Linked DNA regions of Lepisosteus oculatus. The protein of the gene in region 1 binds, or shares a complex with, the protein of each later gene. Links are inferred from orthologs where the notes say so. Each region holds a gene or a part of one and is shown in the gene's direction. Other genes may lie near its edges.

What was found.
Region 2: the proteins of rnaseh2a (region 1) and rnaseh2c are in contact, whole or in part, in a crystal structure (PDB 3PUF), measured with the Homo sapiens proteins. The link is inferred for Lepisosteus oculatus from reciprocal best matches to the Homo sapiens genes RNASEH2A and RNASEH2C. Residues at the interface, in NP_006388.2 of Homo sapiens: Thr11, Asn99, Ser102, Thr103, Leu106, Gly107, Arg108, Val109, Val196, Glu197, Lys198, Leu199, Glu225, Pro226, Val227, Phe228, Gly229, Phe230, Pro231, Gln232, Phe236, Leu245, Ala249, Glu250, Asp251, Val252, Ile253, Trp254, Glu255, Asp256; in NP_115569.2 of Homo sapiens: Pro33, Cys34, Glu35, Val36, Ala37, Val38, Ala42, Pro43, Val44, Gly45, Arg46, Phe47, Phe48, Pro50, Ala51, Arg53, Ser62, Phe63, Arg64, Gly65, Arg66, Cys67, Leu68, Leu134, Glu135, Thr136, Lys143, Gly146, Ala147, Thr149.
Region 3: the proteins of rnaseh2a (region 1) and rnaseh2b are in contact, whole or in part, in a crystal structure (PDB 3PUF), measured with the Homo sapiens proteins. The link is inferred for Lepisosteus oculatus from reciprocal best matches to the Homo sapiens genes RNASEH2A and RNASEH2B. Residues at the interface, in NP_006388.2 of Homo sapiens: Val227, Phe228, Ile253, Trp254, Glu255, Ser284, His285, Tyr287, Phe288, Arg291, Gly292, Leu293, Glu294, Ser295, Ala296, Thr297, Ser298, Leu299; in NP_078846.2 of Homo sapiens: His16, Phe18, Lys39, Asn42, Gly48, Ala49, Ile50, Val63, Lys64, Val65, Phe66, Lys67, His70, Phe74, Val79, His86, Phe87, Val183, Tyr211, Gly214, Leu215, Asp218, Tyr219.

Annotation. Positions count from the first base shown.
Region 1 is NC_090706.1:16,697,689-16,705,147, reverse strand, and holds the start of rnaseh2a (ribonuclease H2 subunit A), read left to right. Parts: upstream 1-4,442; 5' UTR 4,443-4,507; intron 4,508-5,182; 5' UTR 5,183-5,250; coding exon 5,251-5,377; intron 5,378-6,252; coding exon 6,253-6,324; intron 6,325-6,407; coding exon 6,408-6,534; intron 6,535-6,948; coding exon 6,949-7,036; intron 7,037-7,200; coding exon 7,201-7,338; intron 7,339-7,459. Other genes in the region: prdx2 (peroxiredoxin-2), read right to left, coding at 83-236, 995-1,097. UniProt on the Homo sapiens protein: Catalytic subunit of RNase HII, an endonuclease that specifically degrades the RNA of RNA:DNA hybrids. Participates in DNA replication, possibly by mediating the removal of lagging-strand Okazaki fragment RNA primers during DNA replication.
Region 2 is NC_090713.1:22,627,789-22,635,657, reverse strand, and holds rnaseh2c (ribonuclease H2 subunit C), read left to right. Parts: upstream 1-4,817; 5' UTR 4,818-4,891; exon of another isoform or gene 4,892-4,971; intron 4,972-5,613; 5' UTR 5,614-5,614; coding exon 5,615-5,765; intron 5,766-6,162; coding exon 6,163-6,275; intron 6,276-6,498; coding exon 6,499-6,618; intron 6,619-7,313; coding exon 7,314-7,337; 3' UTR 7,338-7,670; downstream 7,671-7,869.
Region 3 is NC_090710.1:26,494,581-26,501,611, forward strand, and holds the start of rnaseh2b (ribonuclease H2 subunit B), read left to right. Parts: upstream 1-4,000; 5' UTR 4,001-4,264; coding exon 4,265-4,328; intron 4,329-5,362; coding exon 5,363-5,434; intron 5,435-6,078; coding exon 6,079-6,186; intron 6,187-6,651; coding exon 6,652-6,728; intron 6,729-7,031. Other genes in the region: dleu7 (leukemia-associated protein 7), read right to left, coding at 465-671, 1,758-2,123. UniProt on the Homo sapiens protein: Non catalytic subunit of RNase H2, an endonuclease that specifically degrades the RNA of RNA:DNA hybrids. Participates in DNA replication, possibly by mediating the removal of lagging-strand Okazaki fragment RNA primers during DNA replication.

The DNA of each region.
Region 1 (7,459 bases):
TGCCGATATCTGCGTTCCAGAGCAAGGAAGGGGGTTAGGGAACGAGCAGAGCTCTGACTCCCCCCCCCGGACCCCCACTCACCAGGCCAGGTGAGAGAACTGCGAGTCCGTGGAGGCAGCGATCACCTCGCAGTTGATCTTGCGGAATTCCTCGGCGCGGTCACTGAAGGCCACGATCTCCGTGGGGCAGACGAAGGTGAAGTCCAGGGGGTAGAAGAAGAAGACCACGTACTTCCCTGGCGGGGTCGAGCCATTCGAGGAGGGGGGGGGAGAGAGAGAGAGAGAGTGTCAGAGGTTGACCCACTGCTCTAACACCATTATACAGGCATTGGAACAGGGAAAACTTCACTGAAAAAACCCTACGCAGCTTGAAGATAAACATCCCTGCTGCATACTGGAAGAGAGAGAGAGAGAGAGCGAAAGAGGGGACAAAAAGCATTAAACCGTGAAACAAGGCCGATTCTTGACGGGACATCACATGACAGTCGAGTGGTGAGAAAAGAGGAAAAAAAAACTCCTTTAGGGGGAAATTCTACAGTAGGACGATTCTGCACCAGACGCTTCGAAAGCTGACAGAACTCATGTGGGTTTGTAGGTGGCCTGCCTTGCATTTTTCGGAGTTAAGAGGTAATTAATCCCAGAGTCCTATCTGGCTTTTTCCTGACGGTCCCCAATGCCGTATCGAGATCTGCTCCGGGCAGAGGGACGCGCTTTCCCCTCCATGAACAAAAACATAAGCTCTTTCGTGGACAGAGAGGTTGCTAATGTGATAAAGCCGACCCCTCTCAGGCCTCACAGAACAGAAGCTTGGTGGTTCAGTATTTTTGGCTGGTTTCACTTCCACCTCTGGTGGAACATGACAGTTAAACGCAAGGCAAAAAAAAAAGGCTCTGAAACTCAAAAGCCCAAGACGCCGTGTGAGAGACGGGGCTGTGCTTGTCGGCGACTTCGTCCCCGGGGGAACGGCGCAGAGATGGCGCCGCCGCCGCGTTACCTCTGTAGTCCGACAGCTTGATCTCCTTGAACTGGCCGTCCACCACCGCCGTGGCCTGGAAGTGGGGGGCGGGCTTCCCGATCTTGGCGTTCCCAGAAGACATTCCAGCTGGCGGCTGCAAGGAAAAAAAAAAAGACGCAGGGTGGTGGTGTCAATCCAGCACTGGATTGCTCGGCAGTACCGAGACAGCGCAAGGCAAGCCTCCACCGAGGAGGATCAGCCAGCACGCGAGAGCTCAGCTAGGACAGGTCTTCGGAGAGATGGGGCACACAGCTCCTGCACCCGTTAGACAAGGGCTGACCGGCCCGATTCCCTTTTCACCACATTTTCATCATTCTAACATGTTTCTGGATGCTCCACTCAAAGGGCTTTACAGGTAATGGGGACTCCCCTCCACCACCAGTGTGTTGCCCCACCTGGATGGTGCGACAGCAGCCATAGCGCGCCAGTACACTCACCACACACCAGCTATCGGGGGGAGGAGAACAGAGTGATGAAGCCAATTCAAGATGGGGATTATTAGGAGGCCATGATCGGTACAGGCCAGGGGGAGATTTGGTTGGGACACTGGCCCATAGAAACCGGTCTCAACTGCTGTCGTAAGAAAAGGCTGTAGCAGTTTCCTGGAAGAGGGCCGTGCAGCTGTACACGTTCCTTTCCCTCGCTCGAGCAAGAGGAACTCGCCGGGGTAATTCAGAGGGGGGGGGGGGGTTCCCCTCTTCTTCTTCTCGAGAATTCCCCACGCTCAGATCTGCGCTCGGTCCCCCTTCCCAGCACTGGCTCTATAAAGTGGGGGAGGGGCAAGAGCACCTCGAGCCTAACGGAGCGCTCAGGAGGGGGAGGTGGGGCGCGGGTGCACACGAGGGGCCCCGAGACGTCTCCGTCCCACCACACGCTCGCACGCGCCCCTCGCAGCCTTCAGGGGTGGCAATAAACACCCGTCACCCCCAAGACCGATTTAAAACAACGGAGCTGTGCAGAACTCCATAGTCACATGCAAGTCACTAATCCTACAGCTCCCCTGTGCCTCCGGCTTTGGAAACAGCCGGATATAAAAAGGAGCAAGTCCTTGGGGGCACCCATGTGCTCTCTGGATTTCATTCCAGCGGAGCTCCTGATGAGTGGTTAATTGATTTCTATTTTTTTTATTTATGGCACGATTAAATAATCTCGGCGGCTGATAACAGACTTCCTCCCTGCCCCAGTGACTGGAGTTCAGACTCCCCCACATTCAGCTATTACCTGATCAAGACACTACGGGGAAAAAACACGCCCAGTGTGGGTGTTTGACACGTGACATGCTGCGAGCACTCGTCAAAAATCACCTATTAGCAGCAGGTCACGCACAAACGGCCCCTACATTTGAGGAGAAACAGTTTGAAGCTGTGAACGCGAACAGCCTTCAAAGTACGAGGATGGAATAGGGAATTTCTCAAACACGTATTGAGCGCAGAAACAAGTTATCCGCTCGCGTGTTTAGATAGTTGGTTAACTAAGAGGCATCAAGCAGCGCTGGTGATTTACAGCTCTGCTGGGGTGTAAACCAACAACAGAGTGGGGAGCCCCAGATTAGTCGGTTTTCTTTTCCGATGAAAGCGCATGAACCCAAACTTGTTTTAATCGCGTAATGAAAAAAACTACGATTATCTTTCAGATGAACTTGAGAAATTAAGAAACTCGATGCGCCTTTCTCATTAAATTACTGCGCCGCATTCACCGGTCAGAACAGAAGTCTTAGAGTAATTGTACAAAAGGCGCTCTTCACGAAGGTTAGAAAAAAAAGTGTATAGAGAGACTTCAAGGCAGGGCGAAATATATCGGATATCAAGGAAGACTTATCATCACAGTGAGCTGCGGCTCGGTCACTGCAAGATAAGTTAGACAATTCCCTTCTAACACGCTGTTTCTAACAGCTCCAGTGACACAGCAAAACGCATCAAAAGAGCTCATTGTCCTCGTTTCGCATTTTCGCCTAATAAATCCGCTTCGGAATTTGGACTGCATATTCTGCTCACAGTATGCACTAAAGGAAAATAAGCCTTTACTCTCAAATAAATGACAAATGCAAGAGACAGCACAGCAAGTGTGTGACTAAACTACGGCATTTGACCCTATGGAACGCATAAAGATAGAAACGTATAAAGATAGAAACGACATATTCAATAATAGTCCGCTCCACAAAGGAATAAAATGAAGCACAGCGGGAGACAGAGCCCGCCTCCATTCATTTCTTGAGCTCTATCCACCCGACACAATCAAGTCTTACTATGCATACGTTCCTCACACACACACACAACTAGTTGCATAAAACTAAAACGCAGAATTGCAATTGCTTAATTTAACCGGGCATGCAAAGTGTAATCTCATGTCAGTCTGCAATGGACACTCACGAGTTGTTATTCTGAGGGCTCGAACAGCTCTGCGCTCTCGCGTCCGCAAGACAGAACTCCGGTCTCGCACTTGACTCCACAGCAGGAGGAGCTCGTGACCAGTGACCTCACGATAAACCCGCCGACTCCACTTCTCGCGAGAGTGACGCCGGGTCGCATTTCAAGACGAATCTAGAATTATAATAATATAATAATAATAATGTTCTGAAATTAGGCCTGGTAGTTTCACCTACAGAAAAGCGAGAGAACATTGATATGGGGAAAAATGTAAACATGTAAAATTACGAAGTACGTTACTAAATACATTATTAATGTACCGGTTAATATACAGAAACACATTTGGAAAACAAACAGATATATAGAGGGATATAGAAAGATCGATACACACATGAAAGAACCATGTTATTGCTATATCAACTCACAGCTGGCAGCCCATTGGAGCTCAGCAGGTACCTGGCCAGTACCTGGATGGGAGACCTCCTGGGTCTGTTTTGAAAAGAGTAGGGGTGTAACCCCTGCATCCTGGCCAAATTTCCCTCTTATCATTGCCCATCTCCGAACTGGCTTCATTGCTCCTCTCCACTGATAACTGATGGGTGGAGAGTGTACTGTGGGGTGTTGGTGGTTACCTGTAAAGTGCCTTATAAGTGTAAGGATATTGTTTCAAGAAAAGATGATGTTTGTTTGAAAAGTTTGTTTTTATTGTATTTTGGTTTCTGACTGTTACTTTGCCTAAAAATGTGTATATAACAAATTACTAACTTCCACATAATAATATTCATATTACTTTGAATGTAATTTTACTGAATCCAATATTTACATATTTTTAAAGAACAGTTCGTGTAGTTTTCTCGCACGCTAGACCACAAAGAACTACAAATCCCATGACGCACCACATAAATACAATAATACTTATTAACATTTTATACTTTTATGAGGAATAATCTAATCTCTTAAGAACAATTACATTAGTCTGAGTAGTTCTTTTTACGTTTCACATTAAAAAAATATTGTTTATTTGTATTTACTATAGCGTCAGGAGTTCAAAAGGTGAAAGGTCGAACGTTAGTTTCTCGCGCGCTAAGCAAAGCTGCAGAACTGCAGGAGTTGTAGGTGTAAATCTGTAAGTAGCACTAGTTTCGCTGTATGCTTGTAATCATTTATGTATTCCTAAAAGAGAGATTAAAAGAGTTTTAGTACTCTCTTGTTTACGATAAGTAGTTTTTGTAAAACCATTTGAGACATTTTAAAGAAACTTAAAATTCCCCCGTCGTGATACATTAAAAACTCCCATCTTTTGAACATGCATTGTAAAAATTTGATCAGCTGTGAAGTACGATAAATACCTAAAACACTTTTGCTTTATAATTGGTAAAACGGATTTTGATAAACCATCGTGGGGGAATTATTCATTTAGTTACTTTCCGTGCCCGAACAAATAAACGCGTATGTTTCAACCGTATTAGGGATTACCCATAGTAAAATTGATACTTTTTAGTGGTCGCGATCATATATTAAAAAAAGCTTTCTCTCCGTTCGCGACTGCCATTTTAAAGCAGACTTCCCGAGAAGAAAAGATTACCCTAAAAGATGAGTTAGCGTTTTTTTTTTGTGCAGCATAAGGTTTAAAACCTTTCCTAGGAGAAGCCAGTCCCTTTAAAAACGCAGTCTGCTTTAACACAAACTGCAGCAGGCTCCGGCTGACACCGCTTCACGAATAGCTTGTTCGAAACACGATCAGTTTTGGAATATGAGCGGGCGTGCAATATTTTCAACTGTCAGTTTGCTTTATATTCAGCATTTTACAGTCTTGCCGAGTGTGGACGCTTGTGACGGCTCTTTATAAAGAGCCCGCAGTTGAAGAAGATGGACCTCGGCAAATTCGAGGAAGATAACTCCCAAAGCTGCCGCCTGTCGTCGGCTGTTCCAGAGGTGTGTAAGACCGAGGACTGCTGTCTGGGGATCGACGAGGCCGGACGGGGCCCCGTGCTCGGTGAGAAATCGCAAACCTGCCACCCCCCTTGGGAAAACTCGCAGGGTCTGTCTTTGCTGTCGCTGAGCTCTGGATAATTTTGTTGATCCTCTGACTTTGTATGAGGAGCCACAGTGACTTTTAATAATAATATTTATATAGCTGTAGAGCTTAGGCTTGTATAGGTCCTTGCTGGACCCTCCACACAAAGGGCTTTACAGGTAAAGGGGACTCCCCTCCACCACCACCAGTGTGGTGAGAATAGAATCCCAGAGAATACAAAGAAATAAACGTGCCTAAAATGAAGTTGAAATGGAAACCAGAAAGCATGGCCACCCAGAAGAAAGAGAGTCTGAAACTCTGACAGTAAAACCTGCAGGACTGTCACGTAGCAGGTCCTGGGCTGCAGATTCTAGTAAGGCAACTTCACGCATGGTGCCGATTCAGAACGTCACCGCACAGATACAGCACGTTCTGTGTTGGCATTCTTCCCTCCTGTCTGCAGGACAGATCAGACCTGTCGCTTTGCTTTGACTCGGACTCTTTTCCTGCTGAGTGGTGTATAATTCCTCTCGGTGGGAATGTGTCCCAGGTGGCCTGTGGTATGTGGGCTCTTGTTCGTGTTCAAGGACAGAGGGGTTTCCTGTGGCTTGTCTTCTGGTGGGTCCCATTGAAGAGATTGGCTCGGTTAGGTTTCTCACTCCCAGAAGGCTTTGATCCTTGCTTAGCCATTGAAGATGGTGAGGTGGACTGCCCACATGAGTGGGCTGTCGTTGTTTTACTTCAGTTCCAGTTGAATTTATTTTGTGCTGTGAGTGAGGCTGTCTGTGTTTTAAAAACACAGCTCTGTTCTGTCTACTAAAGAGTCTTTTTTTATATATATATACTCCTCCTAGGCCCCATGGTTTATGGAATCTGCTATTGCCCCATCTCGAAGAAAACCGACCTTCAGGATTTGAAAGTTGCAGGTAATGATCGGGCCGGACTGCGTTTCCTTCAGGCCTGTTTTTGCTTGTCCGTTCCCGTGACTCCTCCCCCGCTTCGTTTTCAGATTCCAAGACCCTGTCGGAGGTGGAGCGGGAGAATCTGTTCGGCCAGCTGGAGGAGGCCAACAGCTACGTGGGCTGGGCCCTGCACATCCTCTCCCCCAACACCATCTCCACGGGCATGCTGCAGAGGTACGACGCCTCCCTGCTCCCCCTGCCGGCCACCGCTCTGCGCGGGCTGGGCGTGGTCGGGAGCGCGTGGCAGGACCCCGATTTTGGCCTGGGCTGGCGTCGTGCATGGCCTGACGCAGACGCTGCAGAGGGGGGGGGCAGACGTTGAGGCTGCGGGAGGGAGGATTGTGGGAAAGCTGAGGCCAGCGAGTTCAGAGGTGTTTTTTGTTTTAATTATGTCCGGTAATGAACTGGGAACACGAATGGGCACCAAAAGAATATTAGTGTACACATATGGAGATTCTAGTGTCTACCCCGTTTACCTCATTGTTTGTTAAATTGCACTAATCAATTCGCGCACCGCAGTGTGCTGTAGCTCACATTGTGAATTAGATGCTGAAGCAGGTGATGGGTTTGCCGTCTGCTCTCCAACAGGGCGAAATACAATCTGAATGCCCTTTCCCACGACGCAGCGATAGGGCTGGTGCAGTATGCGCTGGACTGTGGCGTGCAGGTCAAAGAGGTATGGTGCATCTTCTGTATTTTCCATGCAGTTCAAAAACTGAGTCTGAGCTCTGCTTCCTAGCCCGTGTTTTCAATAATTAAACAAAAGATCTTTTTCCCCCCCCATTGCCCTCTTTCCTCCTCTGCTCCTGCCTCTCTCTCTCTCCACCCGGCTGTGTGCAGCTGTTCGTTGACACAGTGGGCCCAGCTGAGAAGTACCAGGAGAAGCTGTCCCAGCGCTTCCCAGGCATAGTGGTCACGGTCCGGCCCAAAGCTGATTCCCTCTTCCCCATTGTCAGCGCCGCCAGTATCTGTGCCAAGGTGAGCCTATTTCCTACCCATCGGCCTTGGCTCCGGGCACTGCCCTGGGGGAAGAAATAACTTTCTTCTGCCTTTGGATGCCTTTGCACTGTCTCGGACTCTTTCATTTCAGCCAGCACTT
Region 2 (7,869 bases), on another chromosome or scaffold:
CCGGGCATGAGCTCCTCACCCCACTGCCCTCAGGCAAGAGATATAAGAGCATACGGACACTGACCACTAGATTCTTCAATAGCTTCTATCCACAAGCAGTGAGACTGGCGAACACATTTAGCCATCGCCCTCGGACCACACCTACACCATCACCATCTACCTCATTGTAATTTATTAATTGTACGTCTCCAGTCATTGTTTACACGTCTGTATTGTTTACATTCAAACTGTCTGCATGTTTACTTGCACATTGTCTACTGTTTGTTTGTATATTGTCTTGATGCACTGTTTGCACTTTGTTTTGTTTTTTTACACTTGTTTTACAATCGAGAGACTTCCTGTCAGTAAGAATTCCATTGTACCAGTACCGGTTACATATGGCAATAAAGATCAAGTTCAAGTTCAGGAGGAGGGTGCACCAGTGCTCAGAGAGGAAGGGCCAGCAGGAGTCCGTTCAGTGAATATTCTGCTCACTGCCCCAGGGCTCCAGCTGTTGGCTCAGTGATGCTCTGGGACAGGCAGTGTGGGCAGCCCCTGTGTGGGGTCTCTCTCTCTCCGACTCCCAGTCTGCTCCTGCAACAGCACCTGAGACAGCAGTCACACACAGTCTCTCTCTGACTGTCCCAGAGTCCAGCAGACCTGAGACAGAACTCAAACACACTGACACACTGATGCACTGATACACACAGTCTCTCTCTGACCGTCCCAGACTCCAGCAGACCTGAGACAACTGTCACACAAGCTGACACACACACTGACACACACACAGTCTCTCTCTGACTGTCCCAGACTCCAGCACACCTGAGACAACGGTCACACACGCTGATGCACAGACACACTGTCAGGCCGCTGTCTGAAACACCCTTCCCACCGGGATACTGCAGTATCCCACACGGAACAACAGTGAACTCCCGGCCCCCCCACACACCCACACACACCCCCCTCCCCTCTCACACCCACACACGCCTCGTGCCCAGAACTCGCCAGCGTCTGCTCGTTTCAAAATGCCCCCCCCAGGAGCGCGAGAAATACCCCATCACAGGGTATCCAGAGATCGGCTCCGACAAACCGCTCCTGCAGAGGAAGAGGAAGAGAGAGCGAGCTCCGCAGCTCCGCGGCTGGGGGCCAGTACTGTGCGTGTTTAACAACGACTCGCTGCGCCACGGTGCGTTTGCACGGCCCCGCACGACACGACACGACACGACACGGACACGACACGGGCACGCTCCCAGAGTCGAAACCCCGCTGGAGCCACGCGAATTGATTGTTGTGACGAGTCTGCGCTCAGCGAGGGCTCGACGCGGAAGCTGCGCTTTTTCCTCTGTCTTCTTGTGAAGCTGCCGCCCTGGCGAGACGCCCACGCCGACCCCCCCCTCTTCTCCCTCCCTGTTTTGGCTCAGAGGAGCTCGATCGCATTACCCCAAGTTCCCTGCGCGGTGGCCCCAAGAAGTTTCTGAGCCGAACCCCCCGGGACCAAACCCAACAGCAGCAGCAGAGCTGTCAGAGACCCCGTGACTAAAGATGCGCGATTTTCCAAAACTTTCTTTTTTTTTTGCAGCAGAAAAAGCTGGTTTACTGTACCTTGCCCTTTCTCTATCGGCCGTGTTCTCGGTCTGTATGTGTGACTCTGAACTCTCCGGGCGAGTCTGAGTTCCTATTTCACAGCCTCGCCTCCGCCTCTCGGTCGCATGTGTTGCTAAATCTTTTGAAACACACACCCAGCCCAGGCGAGCGCAGAGCGCGCTCCCGAGCTGCCGAGCACGGACACTTCCGCAAGACCCGGAGCCGGAGCTCGGAGCGGAGCCGATACAAACGCAGTAGGGCGCTCCGGATCCCGGATCTGGATCTGTGCTCTCTACTATAATAACAACAATAATAGTAATAATTGCTCACACTTATATAGCGCTTTTCTGGGCCCTCCACTTAGAGTTCTTTACAGGTCATGGGGATCCCCTCCACCCCCACCTGGATGATGCTCCAGTCCGCTCCCCACACCCCAGCTCTCAGTGGGGAGGAGAGCAGAGTGATGGAGCCAGTTCAGAGAGGGGGGTTATTAGGAGGCCATGATGGGTGAAGGCCAGGGGGGAATATGGCCAGGACACTGGGGTTACACCCTGAATGTTCTTGAGAAACGCCCTGGGGTTTTTAATGACCACAGAGAGTCAGGACCTTGGTTTTACGTCTCATCCGAAGGACGGCGCCTTTTTCCAGTATAGTGTAATATAACAAACTATGTTATACTATAACAGTATAATATAACCAACTATACTGGTGTGTGTTGAGGCGATAAAAATCAGTTCAAGATGTTGGTAAATAACACAATTTAGCTTCACATGTCTGAATTCAAGAGCTGATTCTATCATCTCTGAACACCCTGGCCCTCCAGGACTGGACACCTCGGACCCATGAAGAAGATGTGAGTCGTTTTCAATCTTGTCAGCAGGGCAGAACACCACACGGGCTGGGTCACAAGAGACTCATCGCTCCGGCACTTGCACAAAAAAAAAAAGACAAAAATGAAAAAGTCACAACCTCACCTAAAAGCTATTTTCGGAGTGCCATCAGGGCACTGAATCAACAAGATGAGCTCGGGCCGGACTGCAGCCCATCGTCTCTGACGTGTTACTGCTCTGCTCTGTAGAATCACACCTCCTGCCGAATGTCAGGTGAGCTGGACTCTTGATTCCTCGCTGTGTCTCCGTGGAGCCTGCAGGGTCTCACTGGGAGGGATCGTACTCACAAACTCACAAACGCCTCAACTAAAGTCTGATCTGATCTTATCTGATCTCAGAGTGCAGTGCCAACAGGAAGTACTGCCTTTATCGGCAGTGTTGTGGGGAATTCTTCCTCAGAGGAGCAGGACGCAGCCTTGTGCAGATTCAGTTTTATTGAGCTCAATAAGTCCCACAACGCTCGCTGGGTCGGCCCCACAGAACAGACAGGCTGCAAGGGTCTCCCAGCTCTTATAGACAGTCAGAAGAAAGTTTGTTTCACGATCCGAGTGCTTGTCCTGTTCTTTGATATGTAATAACCTCTTGTCCTGCTCTGTCTTGCTCTGGGTTCTGTCCTTTGAGCTGCAGTAGACATTGGTCTGCTGTGTCCTGTTTGTGGGTGTTGTTCCTGTTGTTTACTATGTAGCGTTAAGCCACTGGGGCTGCTAAAGCAAATCAGCTTTATGGCATCTTAGTGTAACTTTTGTGTTAATTTGCTAAATTACCAGACCCCAGCAACTCCTCTCACGATGTGCTTAAGTGGTGCTGCTGTGATGCCGGACGAGTGAGATGTATACATGTCTCACTTCGACAGCAAGCAGCCACGGCCACAGAAAGGTGTCAAACTGCAGCAGTGCGCTGATCAGCCACACCCACACATCGACCAGCGCTGAGGAGGCAGGAAAACTCACAGACGTTACGGCCCCCCCAGAGCTCGGGCCAGGCCGACAACATGCAGACTCCACCCAGAAGGATCCAGGTCCAGGAGAATTGACTCAGGTCTAAGGCGCTGTGTGGTAGCACATAATAATAATAATAATAATAATAATAATAATAATAATAATAATATGCATAAATGTGTTATTTGCCATTTCTCCATGTTTTCATAACATATTTTTAAAATGTCATCATTAATACAGATTTGAGTGGTTCGGCACCTGTTTCCTCAGTGATCGATCCCAGAGAGCCCTGCTGTCGGGGAAGGGCGTTGGTGACGATGGGTTTTGTCAGCCAGTGCAGTTCTCGCTCCACACGGATGAAACGCAGATCACCGACAGCGCTGTTTTTTTCCTCTCGCGTCTGCGTGCGGACGATAGGGCCTTATCTGACCTCCTGCAGGGAAGAACATTCGACCGATACAGATAAAGCATCCACTCTTACGAACCGGAGCCAGGAGAGGACTCTGGAAATAAAAGCCCAGAGAGAAGAGAGAGAGAGAACTGAGCCCGCCTACAGATACACGCGGCTAGTCTGTGGAGAGTGGGCCTTGTTCTGAATATCGGTATCCGTATCCGCACGTACACCGATCACAGTGAAGCAGTGTTCTCAGTGAACGACGCCTCACATTCACTGCGGTCCCACTTTGAAAAAGGACCGCCGCGATGACGTTTCAGAGTGCCGAAGGTTACGGCAACATTTTTTAGAAGTCATTCATCCCCAGCGCCTTTATGGTTTCCAACTCTGATCCACGAGCCCCTCAGGGCACATACACACGTCACACGCGACTCTGCAGATTTTCTCAGCACTTCAGTTTATCGTCGTACGCACAAGTGCAATGAAATGCTTTTTTGCATGTATGCGCCAATACAAAGATGCACTGTATTGTATGGTATCGCTGTTAATTTTACACTGATTACACAGATGCAGCCATTCAAAACAAGCGGGTTACGCTGCGGTACAACGCGGTGGGCGTATTGCATCTAAACGCGTCATACCGCGCCACACCGTAGGCAAATTAGATTATGTTAATAGTAAAACATTACAATCACCTTGTAAAACCGCCAGGTGGCGCTAATAAAGCTTAACCTCTCCTGTACAGCATTTGAGCTGTCGCCAGAAAACACCCGGTTTCGAATCCCGATCACTGCTGAGGGAGAATCTTTATTCAGTTAAGAATTTAAGTTGTATACTCTTTATGTCTGTCCTTTGTACGCACAGCAAGTGTTTTGGCCGCAGGAAGAAATTCTGGGTCCTTGCATCGTGTAAACAAGCTGTTGTAGCGAGCGCCGCCACGGCGATGTGGCAGACAACACTGACCTCTTGTGGGCAAGGTGAGAAGCACACGGGTCACGTCCCAAGACTACATTTCCCAGGGATCGCTGCGCAGCCTACAAGCGCCCGGCGCAAAGTGATGACACGGCAGCGCGGACTGAATTTGTGCCTGAAGACGCGCGCTAGAGGTTTGCTTCCGTTCAATTGCTTTTCCTTTGTTAATTTGTGCCAAAATCTGTGTTTTAAAGAGCCGTGTTGCTCCGTTAGTGTAAGTCTGCTCAAAGAACGCGTTGTCCGTCTTTTCCGCTGAAATGTTGCCTTTAGTTTTAGCTAAAGAGTGTGTCGGTGTCGTTCATGTTTTAAAACCTTTTCTGATTGATGAACTTTTTTCGGGACGGCTGAGCTGTTGGATTCCCCCTGGCTTGAGTGTGTTTCTAGAGGCCGAGAGGTGCAGCCTGCACACCAGTGAACACAAATAAACAGTCAGCTTTCTCGAAAAGACAGTTCTGGCCGGGTGCTCCCGGTGCATTCGGTACTGACCCGATTGATGATCTATACTGAGGGATACGGGGCCTGTGCACTGGGGAGAGTCCGGCTCAGACTGACCGGTGCACAGGGGAGAGTCCGTCTCAGACTGACCCGTGCACAGGGGAGAGTCCGTCTCAGACTGACCCGTGCACAGGGGAGAGTCCGGCTCAGGCTGACCGGTGCACAGCGCAGAGTCCGTCTCAGGCTGACCCATGCACAGGGGAGAGTCCGGCTCAGACTGACCGGTGCACAGGGCAGAGTCCGGTTCAGACTGACCGGTGCACAGAGGAGAGTCCGGCTCAGACTGACCGGTGCACAGAGGAGAGTCCGGCTCAGACTGACCGGTGCACAGGGGAGACTGACGGCCTGTGTTCTCCTCCAGGATGTCCGGCACCAGTGTGATCCGAGTGGACCTGGCCTCCGTCTCGCGGGCCGACGGGGAGCCCGTCCACCTCCTGCCCTGCGAGGTCGAGCACGACGGGCCGGCCCAGGTGGACCGCTTCTTCAGCGCCGCGGTCAAGGAGCGCGAGAGCGGTGAGCGAGCCGGGCCTCAGACCGGCAGACCCGACCTGTGGCCCGGCTCGGCCCCAGTGTGAGCAGCTCCCCTGGCCCGTTCCCTAGTCGGTAGTAACTGATCCCAGGATTTCATCCAGACGTTCCGAGGAGGCGGGGTATCGGCTTCAGCTACACGGCTGGGCAGCTTGTTCCACACCCCCGCCACCCTCTGTGTAAAGGGCCTCCTGTCCTGCCTGGAGGAGCTCCTCCAGCTGTGTCCTGACGGAAACCAGGGTATCGGCTTCGACAACAGGGCTGGGCAGCTTGTTCCACACCCCCACAACTCTTGGTGTAAAGTGGCACCTCCCATTCTCAGTCTTAAATGTATTTAAGGTGGGGTTTCCTGTGACCTTGCGTGACCTTGTCCCCCCCCCAGACAAGAGCGTGTCGTTCCGGGGCCGTGGGCTCAGAGGCCGGGAGGTCAGCTGTCCGGAGGGCTACACGGGCCTGGTGCTGAAAGAGGACCACAGGCCCGTCTCCGAGGAGGAGGTGAGCGCCGGGGTGTGGGGGGGGGGGGGGGGGGGCACAGGTGAGCCCGAGCAGGAGGGAGTTTCGGAGGAGGAATAATCACTGGGCACTTTCTTCCTTGGAAAAAAAAAGTTAATTTTGTGTGACGTGAGCCGTCAGCTCCTGGGGCCCCGGGTTCGACTCCACAGCCGGGGGGCTGTCTTACTCACCTGTGGGGGGGCGCGCTCTGCTCTGTCTCGGCCAGGAGCGCTCACTGAGGGTCAGGACGGTCTTCAGCAGCCTGACCTACTGGAACCTGGAGACGCCGCCCTCCTCGGACGATGGCGTTGCCATGGCGATGAGCTGGCCGGACATCGCGGGAGCAGTGAGTGGTTCTCCCAGTCTCTCTCCCAGTCACAGACTCTCTCTCCCTCAGATCCACGCTTTCCCAGTCTCTCTCCCTCAGATCCACGCTGTCCCAGACTCCCAGTCTCTCTCCCTCAGATCCACACTGTCCCAGAGTCCCAGTCTCTCTCTCCCTCAGATCCACGCTGTCCCAGAGTCCCAGACTCTCTCCCTCAGATCCACGCTGTCCCAGACTCTCTCCCTCAGATCCACGCTGTCCCAGACTCCCAGACTCTCTCCCTCAGATCCACGCTGTCCCAGACTCCCAGACTCTCTCCCTCAGATCCACGCTGTCCCAGACTCCCAGTCTCTCTCTCCCTCAGATCCACGCTGTCCCAGACTCCCAGTCTCTCTCTCCCTCAAATCCACGCTGTCCCAGACTCCCAGACTCTCTCTCCCTCAGATCCACGCTGTCCCAGACTCCCAGACTCTCTCTCCCTCAGATCCACGCTGTCCCAGACTCCCAGTCTCTCTCTCTCAGATCCACACTGTCCCAGACTCACAGACTCTCTCCCTCAGATCCACACTGTCCCAGACTCACAGACTCTCTCCCTCAGATCCACACTGTCCCAGACTCACAGACTCTCTCTCCCTCAGATCCACGCTGTCCCAGACTCCCAGACTCTCTCCCTAAGATCCACGCTGTCCCAGACTCACAGTCTCTCTCTCCCTCAGATCCACGGGCCTGTCGAAGACTAGAAAAGCTCTACAGCCTCGCACCTGGAACCAGGAGGCAGTAACCTGCCCGCACACATGTATATAGCATCACACACACACGTATATCTGCAGACACACATATGTACACACACACAGGGGCCGAGCTCCGTGAGCCTGGTCTCCCCCCAGCCCGCTGCGATGACGGTTCAGTCGGTGTGGACAGTGAAGGACAGCTCCCTGCTGCTCGAGTTCGACCTTCGGACTGACCGCCTGTGCCAGGAAGGCCCTACAGCCTGCTGTGAGGTGATGGGGGAAATGCTGTGCTCTGTGCTCTGATGTCTTATTAATAAAGAACGGGACGAGCCCTTGTGTGGAGCCTAGCTGACCGACTCTTCTGTCCCGGGTGACCCCGAGAGCAGCCGAGCAACAGGGCTGGAGAGGGCCACCCGCGCCCCATTCCTTGACACCCCTCCACCCCACGCCAGAACTTTGTGTGTGTCTGTGTGAAGTAACTCTCTTAACACCAGGTGCTGAAATACTAAAATAAACACACAGAGGTTCTTGGAGCCAGACG
Region 3 (7,031 bases), on another chromosome or scaffold:
CAAAAATATTTCTGGAAATTTTGTTATAACGGTTTCTGATCTTCACTCTCCCAGATAAACGAATGTGAGAATAAACACAGTCTTTCCTTTATTAAACTAAGATCACTCATGATACAGCGGGCATGAAAGGAGCTATTTTACAGCTGCTATCTGTTACCAGCAATCTAGTTATCTGCCATGTTTTTGCTCTACTTTTAGAAAGTGAAAATGTTATCAGATTGGATGGAGCATTCCTGGGCCACTTGATTCTTACATGGTCCATCCTCCTACTCCTTCAGTTGAACACTAAGCAATCACAGCTTTTTTGAGCTGTTCAACGGAAGTAATACATTAAAAAAATACATGGTATCACACTTCTCTTTCTGGGTTTCTGCAAAAGGTCAACCTCCGTACAGTAATTCAATCCATGAAGTATGAAAGAGTGATTTCCTATGCTGAAGCCCCCTTTTGAGGATAAGGACTTTTCAAACGTCAGGAAACGTTTCACAGATTTGCAGGAGCTGTCCTCTTGCCTGTGTGTGTGAAGGAGAGCTGTAGTGACTCAGGGACAAAAGCAGGCTGTCGACAATGGTTTTCAAGCAGTCCCTTAGCTCTTTCAAGTCCTTGTCTGACTGGTGCCCATCGGCCCGTGCCGCCATGCGTATACAGATGTTTTGGAGATCAATACTGTCCTTTAGGAGACAAAAGGCAGAAAAAGAGCAATTAGAACCAGAGAAAACATGATACCCAATAAGAAAAATGAGCACAGAACATTCTCTAGAATTAAAACACATAGCGACAAAACAGCCGAATATTTGACACAAACCTAAACTGTCGTATTAACCACACTAAACCTCCAGGCCTTGTTTTATGGTTCACTTATCTGTTGCACTGGGGTATTACCACAGTCAACACTCCAGTACTCCACCCAGATAAAACACATCTTACCTGTTTTTCTTAGAAATATTTAAAACCATTTCCAATTAGTGAAGGGCTGAATAGTGAGAGCAGGTTTTCTTACATTCCTACATTTTTTTACTCACGAGCCAATTTAATTTATACATTTTACCAGGGTAACCCTGGGTTTGGAAACTCGCCAAGCAGGTTTTATGAGTCAACTGCTCGACTCAGAAGTTGGTAGAGATCACTTGAAACGAAAATACCATCACCATGTCACCCCCGCCTGACGTATTGAACCGAGTCGCTTGCTAAATGAATCAAATCTCGCGTGTTCCCAGTCTCCATAAACGGGGAAATTAAGAGTGACAGAAGATTTTCTTATATCCAGCTCTCCTGGACAAGAAATAGACCCAAAGTTTAAGTATTTTTGGTTATCTGTACTTCTTTATCAAACTCAGTTTAGCGCTGTGAGCTAATGTCTAAAGTAAGCGTCCATCACATTGTCGCCAGTGAGGACTGCCATTACAACGAATATAACGTGAAATGTGTTTTTTCATCCCTAGAACATCACATTCTTGCTTATAAATAATTCGGTATATGCTGCAAGAATTTTTGGCCGTCCAGCTCCAGAACTGGATATTTTTTGTACAAAGGTGGTCGCGCCGATCCTCAACCCAACTAAAAAGGCTGTCTGAAAATTACTGAATGAAACGAAACGCTGGAGCACAAGACTGTAACACGATCTTTAGCTACCATCTAAAATCAGTTTATAAACACTTTGAAAAGTCGATTTTAATTTAATGAAACCTAAAAGTCTTATAACTGCCCCCCCCTACATTTTATATTTCAACAAGAAACACCAGCAGACAGTCTCCTACCTTGGGGTGCATTACGATTCCCCGGTTCGGGGAGAGAAAGCGGCAAATGTCTTGCTCCGTGGAAATAACTTGGGAAGCTATCTCGGTTAACTTACAAAAGGCACTTTCTCGGGCTCTCACGGCTAGAGTACGGACTTCGCATCCTCTGTCGGATCGAGCCGGCCAGCCTGAGCCCCTCTTCAAAACAGCCCCGTCGTTGGGGTTAACGCGCTCCCGCAGTGAGCTCCTGCCGGAGACGGGCGCTTGCCCGCCGCATCTGTCGCGCGTCACGCCGCCTCTTTGTTTCAGGTCCACCTGCTGCTGCAGCAGCTTCAGCGCTTCTGCCTGATGCGCGATGGACGCGTTCAGTAAGACCTCCGCCTGCATTTTACTACCTCCAAGCCGCAACAAGAAAAAGAAAAAATATATATATATACGGCTCGGAACCAAAAAGCGACCCCGCAAGCAGGAGCCCCCCTCCCTGCGCTCTTAACTTCGAGAGCAGGTGCGAAACAGTCTCACAAAGCGGCTCCGACGGGCTGCCCGGCACAGTTCAAGCGCTCTTTGCGCACCACCAGATTTCCGTTATTGAGGGGCGCTGCTGATCCTACCCAACCAGGATGCGCTTCTCCGTCTTTTGAAATGTAAAAATACGGCAGAACTGGTTTTCGCCATGAGGGAGACAGGGGCGTTTAAAGATAACCAAATTCCTATCCTTTACGACAGGGTGTATTATTCTATTTAAAAAAAAATATTCACAATGGCTGGTGCAGATGGGAATTTCATTTTCAGTAGGTCCGCGTAGAGAAGGGGCAGAGAACGCGACCGTTTTTCATCTTACAAATCGGTCACCTTTCAGAGTATAAATACAAAGCAACTTTTTGCACCACGTTTTGCGACGGGGTATGCGCATTGAAAATGGGAGGATGTTGTGCAACATGAGCATGGTTTAAAACATCATCCTAAGTGTAGTAAAGCTCCGATGAGATATTTCACATTGTTGTATAAATGGCGCATTTATGCAAACTGCAGCTGTGAGCAGTTAGGAGTGCTGGTTCACATCACGGACGAAGGGCTCTCCCTTATAACGCCCTAGTAAATACCCTACACAGTATGTGATGAAACAAAGGAATTGTTTTCGAATTTACACACAGAAAAGAACCGGTGTGTAAATCCACGCCCCACTCCTACCACCCTAAATAACATGTATTTGCGTTTGGATTAAGTGGAAAATAGCGAACACAACAACAAGCCCAAATTAACACTAACACTGTAAATACAAACATAAATGTGAGCGAACGACAATGCAATCTTTGCTGGAGTACAGGCGTGAGTTAAAACACTATGTTGAATTTCACAGCCCAGTGTTATTAGGATTTTAATTGACAAACTGTTCCAAAATCATGAAGGGACTATACGGACTCTCGGATTTATTGCATCCTTAGTCTCTATAAAAGTAAAAGTAATTTTTAATATTAATTACACATTATAGACTTATACAGGCTAACACACTGCACATTTGTACAGATGGGGTACATTATGTGACGCTACCTATCCTCACAGACACGCTTTTCTTATTTTACACAACGTACTTTTTGCAGCTTTGCATTGATAATGCTAATCTCATTTTTCTTCGAAGAGATACAAAGCTTGTCTATGCAAAAGCTCATTACTCACTCTGAAATTGTGTGTAAGTTGAGCACTGCATTTCACCATTAGTTTTCCTCGCTCGGACCAGTCTTAATTTCAGTGCTGAAATCTCTACATTTTGTACACGTGTTTTGTTCATCCAGCTGTATATAAGAACTGTGTACTGTACCAGCACTGGTGTAAATAACATTCATTATTAATGTGATAGGATAGAATAAATACAGGGTGAGTCACGTACCCCTTTGTCCCTTTACGCTACAGAAATAAAATGCATTGTGGCGAGCCTCTTAGCTCGAAAACTGAATTTCTAAGAGTATTTATATAATTTTTACCAAGAATAAATAAAAGCGGAGCAACTATTTTCTGCAGTTCATTTCATAAAGCAGAAACGAAAAACATGCTGCCACTTTAACGTTTCCGACACCCCACGGTATTATTAAATTTAGAATAAAGCAGGATATCTGCATTGTACTAAGAAAAATAAGGCAATGTTTTTGTTTTAGAAAAAAGATGTGCGATTTAAGTAAACTCGTGACACAAAAAAGGAAGGAGTGGGTCACTGTCTCTTTAAAATGACGACAATGGGACAGACCAATTTTAAGGGAATTCACTGAACAGAGAAGCGTAACAACCCTGTGTGATCTCTTGTCATAAAAGTGGTCTACATCAACAGACTGTACATTAGTAACATTATATGATTTCGTTATTTTCTGAAAAATATATCTTTCTTTTTATACATCAGTGTAAAAAGTCTTAAAGATATGCTTCCCCCGTCGAAGTTATTAAGAATTTTACCGCCATTTTTAGCTTCTTAGTTTTGTTAGTACTCTCGCATAACAATTTATGTTTTACAGCCTTTTTAAAAAACTTTTCCAAACATGACTACAAGAAGAAAGCGTCAGTCAAACACGCAGGCAGACCAGTGGGTTGTTATAGCTGCAGGTAAGCTATACGGGGTCGACTCTAGGCGGCTTTAATGCAGGTTACAGCCGCCATGCCCATCTCTGAACCGAGGTGTGTGAAGACGTCTGTCCTGCAAACTTAATCGCTGCTTTAAGTGTTTTTTTTTAAACAATTACTTCTCCTTAAAGGTATTGACAGTTTTCACGAGAGACAGAGCAAGGATATTCTGCACGGGTTCACACGAAAAATACTGTGGTGGATATAGTTCTCGGCCTTGGAAATGATGTATGACAGAGTAGTATATCGGTGCTTTTCAGCACTATGTGCCCCTCTCATTTCCATTTTTGCAGTGAGCAAATAAAATAAGTAAACGAAATTATTATAAAAGTTAACGCAGCATTGAGATGCCACGACCACCTCCCTCCTCCTCGTTTAATCCTGTTGGCTCCGTTCTTGAATTAGTCTATTCTGAAATGTACGCCGACCGAGGCTCTCAAAAACTGTCGGGACTGCTTTGAACAAGATGAACAGCCTTCATATTTTAATGTTCACGTAGAAAATACAGCTGTGTTACTGGTTTTATAGTTTTGCTTTATACGATAAAGGGATCTGTTGAAACATGTCTTAATGGTGTTCGTAACTTTGAATTGTTAACGCCGAAACTTGGGCTACTTTTCTTTGGTGCCTGTTCATAGTATAAAAAGGACCAGCTTGACATTGTAGCAACACGAAATACAAGGCCCAATAAATAAATGATACTGTAGTGCCAGTTTCATATCTGCTTGGTTTGTTTTGTTTAATGCCTGACCAATTACTGTTTGGACATTACATACACGTTTTTGACCAGTACATTGTCCAATCAATTTTAAACATTTTCTGAAAAACCTGCCTAATTCTTCTGTACGATTATAGTTTTATGTTTTGTGTCATATTTAATTATAAGGCCTAAGGGACATTTTCTGAATAATTTGATCATTTTAGTGGTACACGATAGTTAAATACTCAGTAGATTTTGATGTGTATTTTAGAAGACCCCTGGATCTGTGAATATCCATGTTCCCTCCTGTTTACAGATTCAGTCATTGATGGAAAAAAGAAGCCAAACAGTGATCCTGTTTTTGTTCATCTTCGAAATCCTGCATCAAGTAAGCAATCCGCCATTCTTTCTTAACGGCTGGTAGGTGGCATTTTTCCTTTCTGTGAACAAGGGTTTACAACATAAAGCTGTTGTATTTGGAGAAATCCTGAGACAGAAAAGGAGGTGGGAGATGTCTTTTTCTATTGCTAAAGAGAAATCTGCAGTCTGTTTCTAACGTTGTCAGTCAAATAAATTTGGAGAGAAATTGCAAAATCGTGCAGGTTAATATCCATCCATCCATTTTTAACCAGTTCTTCCAGTTTAGTTTAGTGTGGTGGTGGAGCCTATCCGACAGACACGGACACGCACACACTCACACCAAGGACCAGTTTTCCCAGAAACCAGTCACACCTGAAGAAGGCTCCACGGCCAAAACGTTGTGTTTTCTTTCTTCTCTTTTCAGCATGGAATAAACCTATTACTTGTTCCTTTGCAACCTCCACGTATGTTGATATTTAGGTGAGAAATATGCTGCATCAGGTCCTGTAGTCACAGTTTATCCACCACTTACATGTAGAGAAAGATGTTAACCCTTCTTTGACAGCTCAACACTCTGTACAGTACAAGTTATGTCATGCAAGATAGGGGACAGAGGAAGTTATATCAGGTCAGCCAATTTTGAGAGTTACAGTACCTTTGCTTCTCTACTAGATGTTGGTTCTCTGTACCTCTTTGGGGGTGGCGACCTGCAGCTGTATGAGGTGAAAGCTTTTAATGAAGATTATCACTCCTGGTTTATTGGACAAACAGTGCAGCGAGGTGAGTGTTATGAAATAAGAAGTAATAGTTTTTAATTTTAAACTCCTCATAGATTAAGACTCAATAAACAAAGTATTTTTTCATACATTATAAAATTTGTGGAGTTCGATCTTGTGTGGCGAGTAGAGAATCATGCTTTCTCACACACTAGACCACACTGTGCTCAGAATTAGGTCAGGAACTCAAACTTAAAATAACTAACCAAAACATATTTAAACTTATTAAATTCTGCCTGCTGTAATAGCATATGTCACTGCATCTAGTCTTTTTTGGCAACTGAAGTTACTGTTATAAAGATTTATGTCAGAGCAGCTTCTACAATTTTTAAAAATTGAACATTTATGTGTGCTTACTCTCTTGTTGCCAATATAGTGGACAATATAGACAATTTTGTTTAACAATACCTGTGTATTATTTTAATCTGTAGACAACATACTTTTCTGTTTAATTAAAAAATACTTGTAGATGGAAGACTGCTGTATGTAACACCAATGGACCCTCTGTACCTTTTGTTGCCTTACCTGTTAAAAGCTGGGAAAGAGGTATGTACAGTATAAGTAAGAATAAGTTCTCCTATTTTAGCCTGACCATATCTTTATAAAACACACCACCATGACTCCTGGTATTCTGATGACTATATTGAGTTTGGCATTGCTGCACAGTACACATGCTTATATGTTAATGCTGTGTAGGAGTACTTTAAGGTGCTGGCAAAGTAAAAGTGAAAATTGTCAAATTCCCAAATACAAAGAAATGAAAATAGTTTTTAGAGGCATGCTGTAGAATCTGTTTAATAAGAAACATTACGGAACAGACAAGGCCTTTTGGTCCACTTGTGTTATATG